Linked DNA regions of Nothobranchius furzeri. The protein of the gene in region 2 interacts with the protein of the main gene of each other region in a pairwise test. Links are inferred from orthologs where the notes say so. Each region holds a gene or a part of one and is shown on either strand. Other genes may lie near its edges. The genes, in order: copa and copb2.

Region 1 (3,821 bases), about 17 Mb from region 2:
CACCATGTGAAGCACCTGGAAGGACCGCCGTCAGGAGGATAAATCAGTCAAAGCAAAAACACGAAGGTGGATTTAAAACAAACATTTAGAACAAACCTCATCATATTTGCGATTGACCAGAGCCAGTTTGAAGCGGTACTCAGTCGGGTCGATGGTGAGCACACGGGGCCTGCATTCTCTGTCCAGGCAGTAAACACTGTTTCCTCTCACACGGGTCACGTAGATGGGCAGATCCAGGGTCCTGATGATGCCGTGGTCACTACAGAGTCATAAACAGGGCGCTATAATATTCATTTTCAAATGCACACAGTAACGTGCTCAAAAAACAACTTAACTTGTATAATAAAAGACTCCCATCTAAAAAAAAAGTCTCCATGTGGAAAATCTGTGCACACTAGCAGTTAGCTTCACTACCTTCTTTCTCACCATCTTTTAGCTCCAACACTTCACATGTTCAGGTTTCTTGATTTTCTGACATTTGTAAGACATCTGGGCTGCATCCAGAACTAGACGACCTACCCAGAAGTGAGGGCATATTTGATGTGGTTGGAGGTGGTGTAAATGAAGACCCCACTCTCATCCCAGGCTCCGCTCTTCACTCGGATGTTTTCGTGGATGTTGCAGAGACTATCTAGCTTACGGTTGCAAATCATTATAGCTGAAGGGAGAAAGATGAAGAAAAGACTTTGATGTGTCTGAAAATAAATTTTACAGAGCATCAACTTACATTTTTAGGCTAAATGTGCAACAATAAAGGGTGAAATCTTATTTCCTAATGTTATTTTCTGTTACTCTACACAAATGCCTGACTGAACTAAACCTGCACCATTCCTCTCATCAACCCACCGTGTTTAGCCAGCAGAGCCACGTGGCTGGTGTCAGAGCTCCACACCACATATTTGACCTTAGCGATCTTCACAGTGGCCAGCGAACGTTTCTGCTGCACGTCGAACAGCGTGACGCCATCAGCATCCCGCAGCAGCAGCGAACCCGTTCCTGCGTAGAATATCTCCTCGCAGCTCGGCACCTGGACTTTCTTCACTATTTCATTCTTCAGGTTTTTGATCAGAAGCTGTGAAGGAGAAACAAATGGTATTTTAATTTAGTGCCTTTTTAATTCTTCATAAAGAACACCATTGTTTGCAAGTGAACTTACAGAGTGCATGCGATCGAGAACAGCAAACCGGTTTCTTGCCACCCAGACAGCCGTCAGACCAGAAGATCGTTTCCCCTCAGGTGCTGGGAATAAAAAATAAATTCTCCCACTTTAAATGACCAAACGATGCATCTAATTATTTGGATAAAAAATAAAAACAAATTGAGAAATTAAAAAGGTCTAACATGTCCTCTATCATGAATCGTCTTTACCATCAGGGTTCTGAGAGTCACTTTCTTTGGGAATCGAGTACAAGTCGTAAGTACTGTTCTCCAGGTTGGTGGCCCTCTGCAGGAAAAACAAAGAATTTGGAGAAAAAAAAATAAAAAAAATAATAATAAAACAATTATGGGCAACAAACGTTATCAGTGAGGGTTTTTATACTTACAGTACAGAGCAGGACAGCGTTCTCGGCAGGGTTGTAAGACATGCTGAACACCGGGAACTTAGAACCACTAGAAGAGAAAATTAATAAAAGAAATTTGGTGCAATTTTACTGTTTCAGTCCACATTAATGGGCAATAACAGTACAGTAGTTGAAACTACAAGTCTAAATCATTTGTATTCATCATCACTGTTCATTCAGCCTTGTCTAATGAAGTCTAAGAATAAACTTGCAGAGGTGAATTTCTTCACATCTGCATTTAGGACATTTTTGCTGCAAACTTTGTGGTAAAAGATGATCAACAAGACATCTTTCATTGTTTTGCTGTAAATAATAAAAAGCTATTGAGATCCATAAATTAGTCAAGAGGTAGGAGGGGAGACCAAGTGATCAAACCTCTTGTTGCTCACTGAAGAAGCTGTACTTTAACCTCCAACTACCAACCTGCGGAGCTGCATGACAGCAGTGTCTTTGCTGCTGTTGAAGTCCAGCTGACGGAGGAAGCGATCCTTGACGTAGTACAGCATGTTGCCGTGTACAGCGTACGCAGGGCGCTCCCGCTCCAGCTTGAATACAATCATACCACTATCATGACCTAAAAATAATAAAGGACAATAATCAAATTTAAAAAAATAATCACTTTTTAAATTTGCTAATTATTTCCTTTAGCTGAGTAACACATTGTTTTTATTACAGTCAAATACAATTGTAGTAACTGGAATCATTCTTTTAAGTTCAAATAGTAAAACCTCACCAACAGCGTAAACCGCCCATCTATAGATTAATGTTGGGGTCGACACTTACCTGCTGCAAACAGGTTGAGGTTTGGGTGAGCCCCCAGGACCCAGAAGCGATCATGATCACGGCGAAAGGTTTGCACTCCGGTCCTTTTGGACATGTCCCAGACTCGGATGCTCTTGTCCTCAGAGTTGGACAGAATGAGCTCCTGACGTGGGTGGAAAACTGCACAGGACACATTGTTGTAGTGACCACGGCAAGTATCGAGCTCCCATGCTTTGGACTCTGGACAAAACAGGAAAAGATGAGATTAGTAAAACATATAAATGACATAATCTGCAAAGCGTGACATTTTAGTTCAATGCCGATTGGTTCAAAGCTAATATGAGCCAGACAGGCGAGTGTGTAAATAACGTAAATTGAACGTAAAATGTTGGCATAATAGCCTCCGCCAGACATGTTTGAATATTTAAACATTGCTGCAGCAACTAGCTGCAGAGCAAAACGTGGAGCAGCTGATTTATTATGTGCCTGTCTTACCGTTCATCCTCCAGATCTTCACCTGTCTGTCATCAGCTCCCGACACGATGAGAGGCATGCTGGGATGGAAGGCAGCCCAGTTGACCCCACGATCATGACCCTGGCCACAGACGCACAAACTCAAGTCCAACAAATGCTTAAATATCTCCGCACACATTCAGCACCGAAGCTAAAGGCTGTTCTCTTTGGTGCTCTCAAATTACAAGCATGAGAGCAAGGAATTATATTTTTAATTTATGCAAACACTGAGAAAGTCAGGCTTTGAGAAAGATGCCAGTTTTGTTGAATATTTTAGCCAAAACTATCAAGAACAGCAATAGCAGAATGAATAAGTTAAAAAATGGAAGCTTCCTTTGAAAACTGAGCTACGAGTTCAAAACCTGCCAGGCACAAAAAATAAAGGACATTTTCCTTTGCTAAGCTGTTTAAAAATGTATTCACTAGATTGAGACGTAAGTCTTAAGAATACTAAATAAGACAAATCAAGTTTGCTGCTCACCTCAAGGACATGCTTCACAACAGCATCCGAGGCGCCAAATAGGTCAACCCCAGTGATGCCGCGCACTTCCGTCTCCACGGCGCCAGGAGACAGGTTCTTCTTCCTCAGACCTGGAACCATCAATTAGAGGGTCGCGTGCAAGGAAGGAAAGCCATGTTCATGTTATACAGAGCACAACCCCAGCAAAGAGGAGGAGGAAGAACACAAAACAAAACATCATTCCACATGATCAAACATGGGGTCAAATCATGTAAAACAAAAGAACAAATTCAGAGTAAAAATAGGACTGTTGGACTACTGAACACACACACATGGGGTTGAAACACACAAACACAACCTTCGTTTCCTCATTAAGATGAATCTGGAAACAATCACCACAGTAGCAGCGCCAGAAGAAATGACTGATTCAACTGAACACCACAGTAGATTTACTGATCATCTCCAGAACTCAGACTAAATCAGGAAGGAAATTTGACAAGAAAACAGTATTGCATTCATGATTT
Region 2 (4,400 bases):
TTTTTGTAGAGTTTGGTAAGATGGGAGGGGGACACACTTGTGTGCACGCAGAAAGGAGAAAAATGCAACCGCGGCTGGAAACACTGGATTGAAGGAGACAAACTCTACCTGGTGGGTCTTGAACTACAGTCATGTTAAGGTTGCTTTATCAAATCAAAGATACTTTATTGATCCCAGAGGGAAATTAGCCATGCTGAATAATACTGAGAGTTTTTGTTTCACAGGAGCTGACATGTGAAGATGTGATTTGTGTTCAAGTGTTCAAAAGAAAATAATAGCGTCTGTCCTTATTGTCACTAGGTTGATAAAAAATAGAATCTACATGTTTTCCAAGCATTTTGAATCAATAAATGATCTTTAATTATTCATTGTGTTGTATTTTATTTGTTAGCGTGCAAATCCCTCATTCTGTCAAGGCAACAACACATGTGTTTGGAATAATTTAGAAGAGTTTTGCTTCTAGTTTAACTTTAAAAACCCAGTTCCTTTTTCTGCTTTTACTCATCTTCCTCATCATCCTTAATTTTATTATTCCCAAGAGGACAAAATGGAAGATTAACATTTTTTACAGCTTAATTAAGATAAGGAGGCTGAAATATTTTCTTCTAAATGGGTCACGGGTTCGATTCCAGCTCCCGCCAGGTGTATCCTGCTGTCGTGTCCTTGGGCAAGACACTTCACCCAACTTGCCTGTGTTAGTGGTGGTCAGAGGGGCCGACGGCGCCAAATGGCAGCCTCGCCTCTGTCAGACCTCCCCAGGGCGGCTGTGGCTACAAGTAGCTTACCATCACTAGCAGTGTGTGAATGTGAGAGTGTGTGAAAGCGTCTTTGGGTGTCTTGAAAGCGCTATATAAGTTCAATGCATTATTATTATTATTATTAAAAAAATAAAAAAAAGTACCCGCGTTCAGACACTGGAGGGCAGCAACTCCCCATCTCCCCGTCTTTTATAAATGCTGTTGGAAACCAAAGTGTTGTTCTGTTGTTTTGCCAGTAGAGGGCACAAGTTCTCCGTTCTGTCAAGGCAACAAAACATTTTATTTGGAAGAATTTAGAGAAAGTGTTTTTACTAAGTAACAATTTAAATTAAAAAATCCTGTTCCTTCTTCTGCTTCTACTCATCCTTCTTCTCATCCTTAATAGTAATACTCCCAAGAAGATTAAGATAAGGAAGCTGTGTCCAGGACGAACCAAGACCCCCAACCTTTACCCTCATGAACACATCAAAAGTGAATAATTACAAGCTTTATACAGGCATACTAAGATATACTTCTTATGCAGAGTTTTGATTATACGATTTGGTGTGTTTTGGGGCTTTTATACATTTAACTTTTGAAAATATAATCTTGGTAATCCCACACCCCACTGTAATCTTTGGGTTTCACGGATCCCAGGTTGCGAACCACTGAGTTAGAATAAATATTAAAATTACAAGCTTAAATATTGTTTAAAAAATGTCCATGTAATTCAGTAACTTTATTTGAGTTACAACAGCAACTTGCAACCTACAAAAAATAAAAAAATAAAAAAATAACTTGCAACCTACAAGCTTCCATGTCACGTCAGCAGTTCCAACACAGTTCTCGCGAGATTTCGTTTCAGGAAGTTCCACGTCAGTGTCCTGCAGAACGCTGCTCACTGAAATCGCAACATTTGGACTCGATTGGACGTTAATCGGATCTAGCAAAGACATCCAGGGCGGAAAATATGGTAAGCTGTAGTTTAGAAAGTTATAAGTGTGCTTCTTTTCGATAAATGTCACCCGAGATTCAGTTTAATCTTTAAACAAAAAGAATGAAATGCTTAAAAGAGCCTAGCGGCTAACTAGCTTAAGTTTGCATAGAATATTGTCTCTCAAACACGTTTAAACCTAAATGTTAATGTCACATATATCTATCCTTATTTTTCAACGAATTAGTCACAGATGAATGTGTGACTGATCAACTGAAATAGCGAAAAAAACAGTTTTAATTTCATTTGTTTCTGATGATTGATACATTGGTGTTAAGTTGACGTTCTGCTACTACTAGCTAACAGCAACAAAGTACAGTTTGAATAGTGTCTATTAACACATTGGGTTTATTTTTATTTAAGCCTCTGAGGCTGGACATCAAGAGGAGGCTAACAGCCAGGTCGGACCGGGTCAAGAGTGTGGATCTTCACCCAACCGAGCCATGGATGTTGGCCAGTTTGTACAACGGCAGTGTCTGTGTGTGGAACCACGAAACGCAAGTATGGAATACACCCAAAGAGTAAAACCTTTGATCTGTGCACCATATAAACAAACAAATATGTGAAAAACATCTATAAAAATCACAATCAAAGTCGATCTGTTTTTATTCCAGACTCTGGTCAAGACGTTTGAAGTGTGTGACCTGCCTGTCAGAGCTTCCAAGTTTGTGGCAAGAAAGAACTGGGTGATCACAGGAGCAGTGAGTCACAGGAATTTATTTGTTTTGAGCCTACACCTCTAAAAGCTTCTGTAATATATATATATATATATATATATATATATATATATATATGTATATATATATATATATATATATATATATGTATATATATATATATATATATATGTATATATATATATATATATATATGTATATATATATGTATATATATATATATATGTATATATATATGTATATATATATATATATGTATATATATATGTATATTAGTGTAAAACTGCTATTTGATGTTATTTTAGAGTTAAAACTTTTACTAGAAAACTTAGGAAAAACTACACTTTTCTACTTTATTCATAATTTCTTTTCTCTTCACAGGATGACATGCAGATCCGTGTGTTCAACTACAACACCTTGGAGCGGGTCCACATGTTTGAAGCCCACTCTGACTACATCCGTTGCATTGCTGTCCATCCAACTCAGCCATACATCCTCACTAGCAGTGGTACACTATTTACCCTACTAAACCTATATTTTCTACAGCTTTAAATGCAGCTGTGGCTCTGATTAGGCTTATGTATCCTTTTTTTGGGCACTTGAGCGTGATTGTGTTTTATCTTTGTGCAGACGACATGCTGATCAAGCTTTGGGATTGGGAGAAAAAGTGGACATGCAGTCAGGTGTTTGAGGGTCACACTCATTACGTCATGCAGATCGTCATCAACCCCAAGGACAACAACCAGTTTGCGAGCGCTTCTCTGGACAGAACCATAAAGGTAGATTTTTCTGTTTGTGCAAATGGATAAATGGAATGTAAAACTGTATATAAGTGTAGATTATTGTTTTTAATGAATGTGTGTAAGATCAACAGCTCCTTTATATTTGATTTGGTGCAAAGGAGTCAGTGGTAAGAAGCGTACTGTGTCTGATTATTTTTGTACAGTTCTCTCTCTCTTTGTGTTGTACAGGTTTGGCAGCTGGGCTCCTCATCTCCTAATTTCACTCTGGAGGGTCACGAAAAGGGAGTAAACTGTATTGACTACTACAGTGGAGGAGACAAGCCCTATCTGATATCAGGGGCTGATGACCGCCAAGTCAAAATTTGGGACTACCAGGTTAGAGAAGTTTTATTTGGTTATAGTTATAGTGGCATGTACACAGAATTTAAAGTAAGTCACCAAATGGGGAAAACTGCATTAATTTGAAAAAGTACAGACTATTTGTTTTATCTCGCATTAGAAAAAGCCCAAGTTAGGTATGGTGATTTTATTTTTTGGTCTTTGTAAGTTTTATCTAGCATTTCCTCTACATACATTTATATCCCTCTTTCTCTGTGTGTTGTAGAACAAGACTTGTGTTCAGACTCTGGAAGGTCATGCCCAAAATGTCTCGTGTGTCAGCTTCCACCCAGAACTACCCATAATCATCACGGGATCAGAGGATGGTGAGAAAAAATCTCCCTCAACCATAAAATCCACAGGAACGTCCTCTCCTTATGTTGTTGTTTTGTGCAATATCGTCGTCTTTCCTCTCCAGGTACGGTTCGAATCTGGCACTCGAGTACTTATCGCCTGGAAAGCACCCTGAACTACGGCATGGAACGAGTGTGGTGTGTGTGTGGCCTCAGGGGATCCAACAATGTGGCACTGGGATACGATGAAGGCAGCATCATCATCAAAGTGAGTAAAAGGAAGATTTAATCTAAAGTTGGATTAAACTAATGCCTCAAAATTAACTTTTTAAAAGAAATCCACATTAAAATGAAATAAACGGTAAAAGTAAAAATGTGTACGCTTGTTTTACTCTGCGGTGTAGGTTGGTCGGGAGGAGCCAGCCATGTCTATGGACACTAATGGCAAAATCATCTGGGCTAAGCACAGTGAAATACAGCAGGCTAACCTGAAGGCTATGGGGGATGCAGAAATCAAAGATGGGGAGAGACTGCCACTGGCTGTCAAAGACATGGGTAGCTGTGAGATTTACCCTCAA

What was found.
Region 1: the proteins of copb2 (region 2) and copa interact in a two-hybrid assay, tested with the Homo sapiens proteins (2 studies listed by BioGRID, with this or other methods). The link is inferred for Nothobranchius furzeri from reciprocal best matches to the Homo sapiens genes COPB2 and COPA.

The regions. Positions count from the first base shown.
Region 1 is NC_091751.1:41,088,737-41,092,557, forward strand, and holds part of copa (coatomer subunit alpha), read right to left. Parts: intron 3,429-3,821; coding exon 3,319-3,428; intron 2,920-3,318; coding exon 2,820-2,919; intron 2,565-2,819; coding exon 2,346-2,564; intron 2,137-2,345; coding exon 1,986-2,136; intron 1,612-1,985; coding exon 1,545-1,611; intron 1,445-1,544; coding exon 1,369-1,444; intron 1,240-1,368; coding exon 1,157-1,239; intron 1,073-1,156; coding exon 847-1,072; intron 659-846; coding exon 520-658; intron 260-519; coding exon 97-259; intron 16-96; coding exon 1-15. UniProt on the Homo sapiens protein: The coatomer is a cytosolic protein complex that binds to dilysine motifs and reversibly associates with Golgi non-clathrin-coated vesicles, which further mediate biosynthetic protein transport from the ER, via the Golgi up to the trans Golgi network.
Region 2 is NC_091751.1:58,296,276-58,300,675, reverse strand, and holds the start of copb2 (coatomer subunit beta'), read left to right. Parts: upstream 1-1,578; 5' UTR 1,579-1,707; coding exon 1,708-1,710; intron 1,711-2,094; coding exon 2,095-2,232; intron 2,233-2,345; coding exon 2,346-2,432; intron 2,433-2,789; coding exon 2,790-2,916; intron 2,917-3,038; coding exon 3,039-3,187; intron 3,188-3,379; coding exon 3,380-3,526; intron 3,527-3,755; coding exon 3,756-3,855; intron 3,856-3,947; coding exon 3,948-4,090; intron 4,091-4,226; coding exon 4,227-4,400. Other genes in the region: retinol-binding protein 2-like, read left to right, coding at 10-111, 225-275. UniProt on the Homo sapiens protein: The coatomer is a cytosolic protein complex that binds to dilysine motifs and reversibly associates with Golgi non-clathrin-coated vesicles, which further mediate biosynthetic protein transport from the ER, via the Golgi up to the trans Golgi network.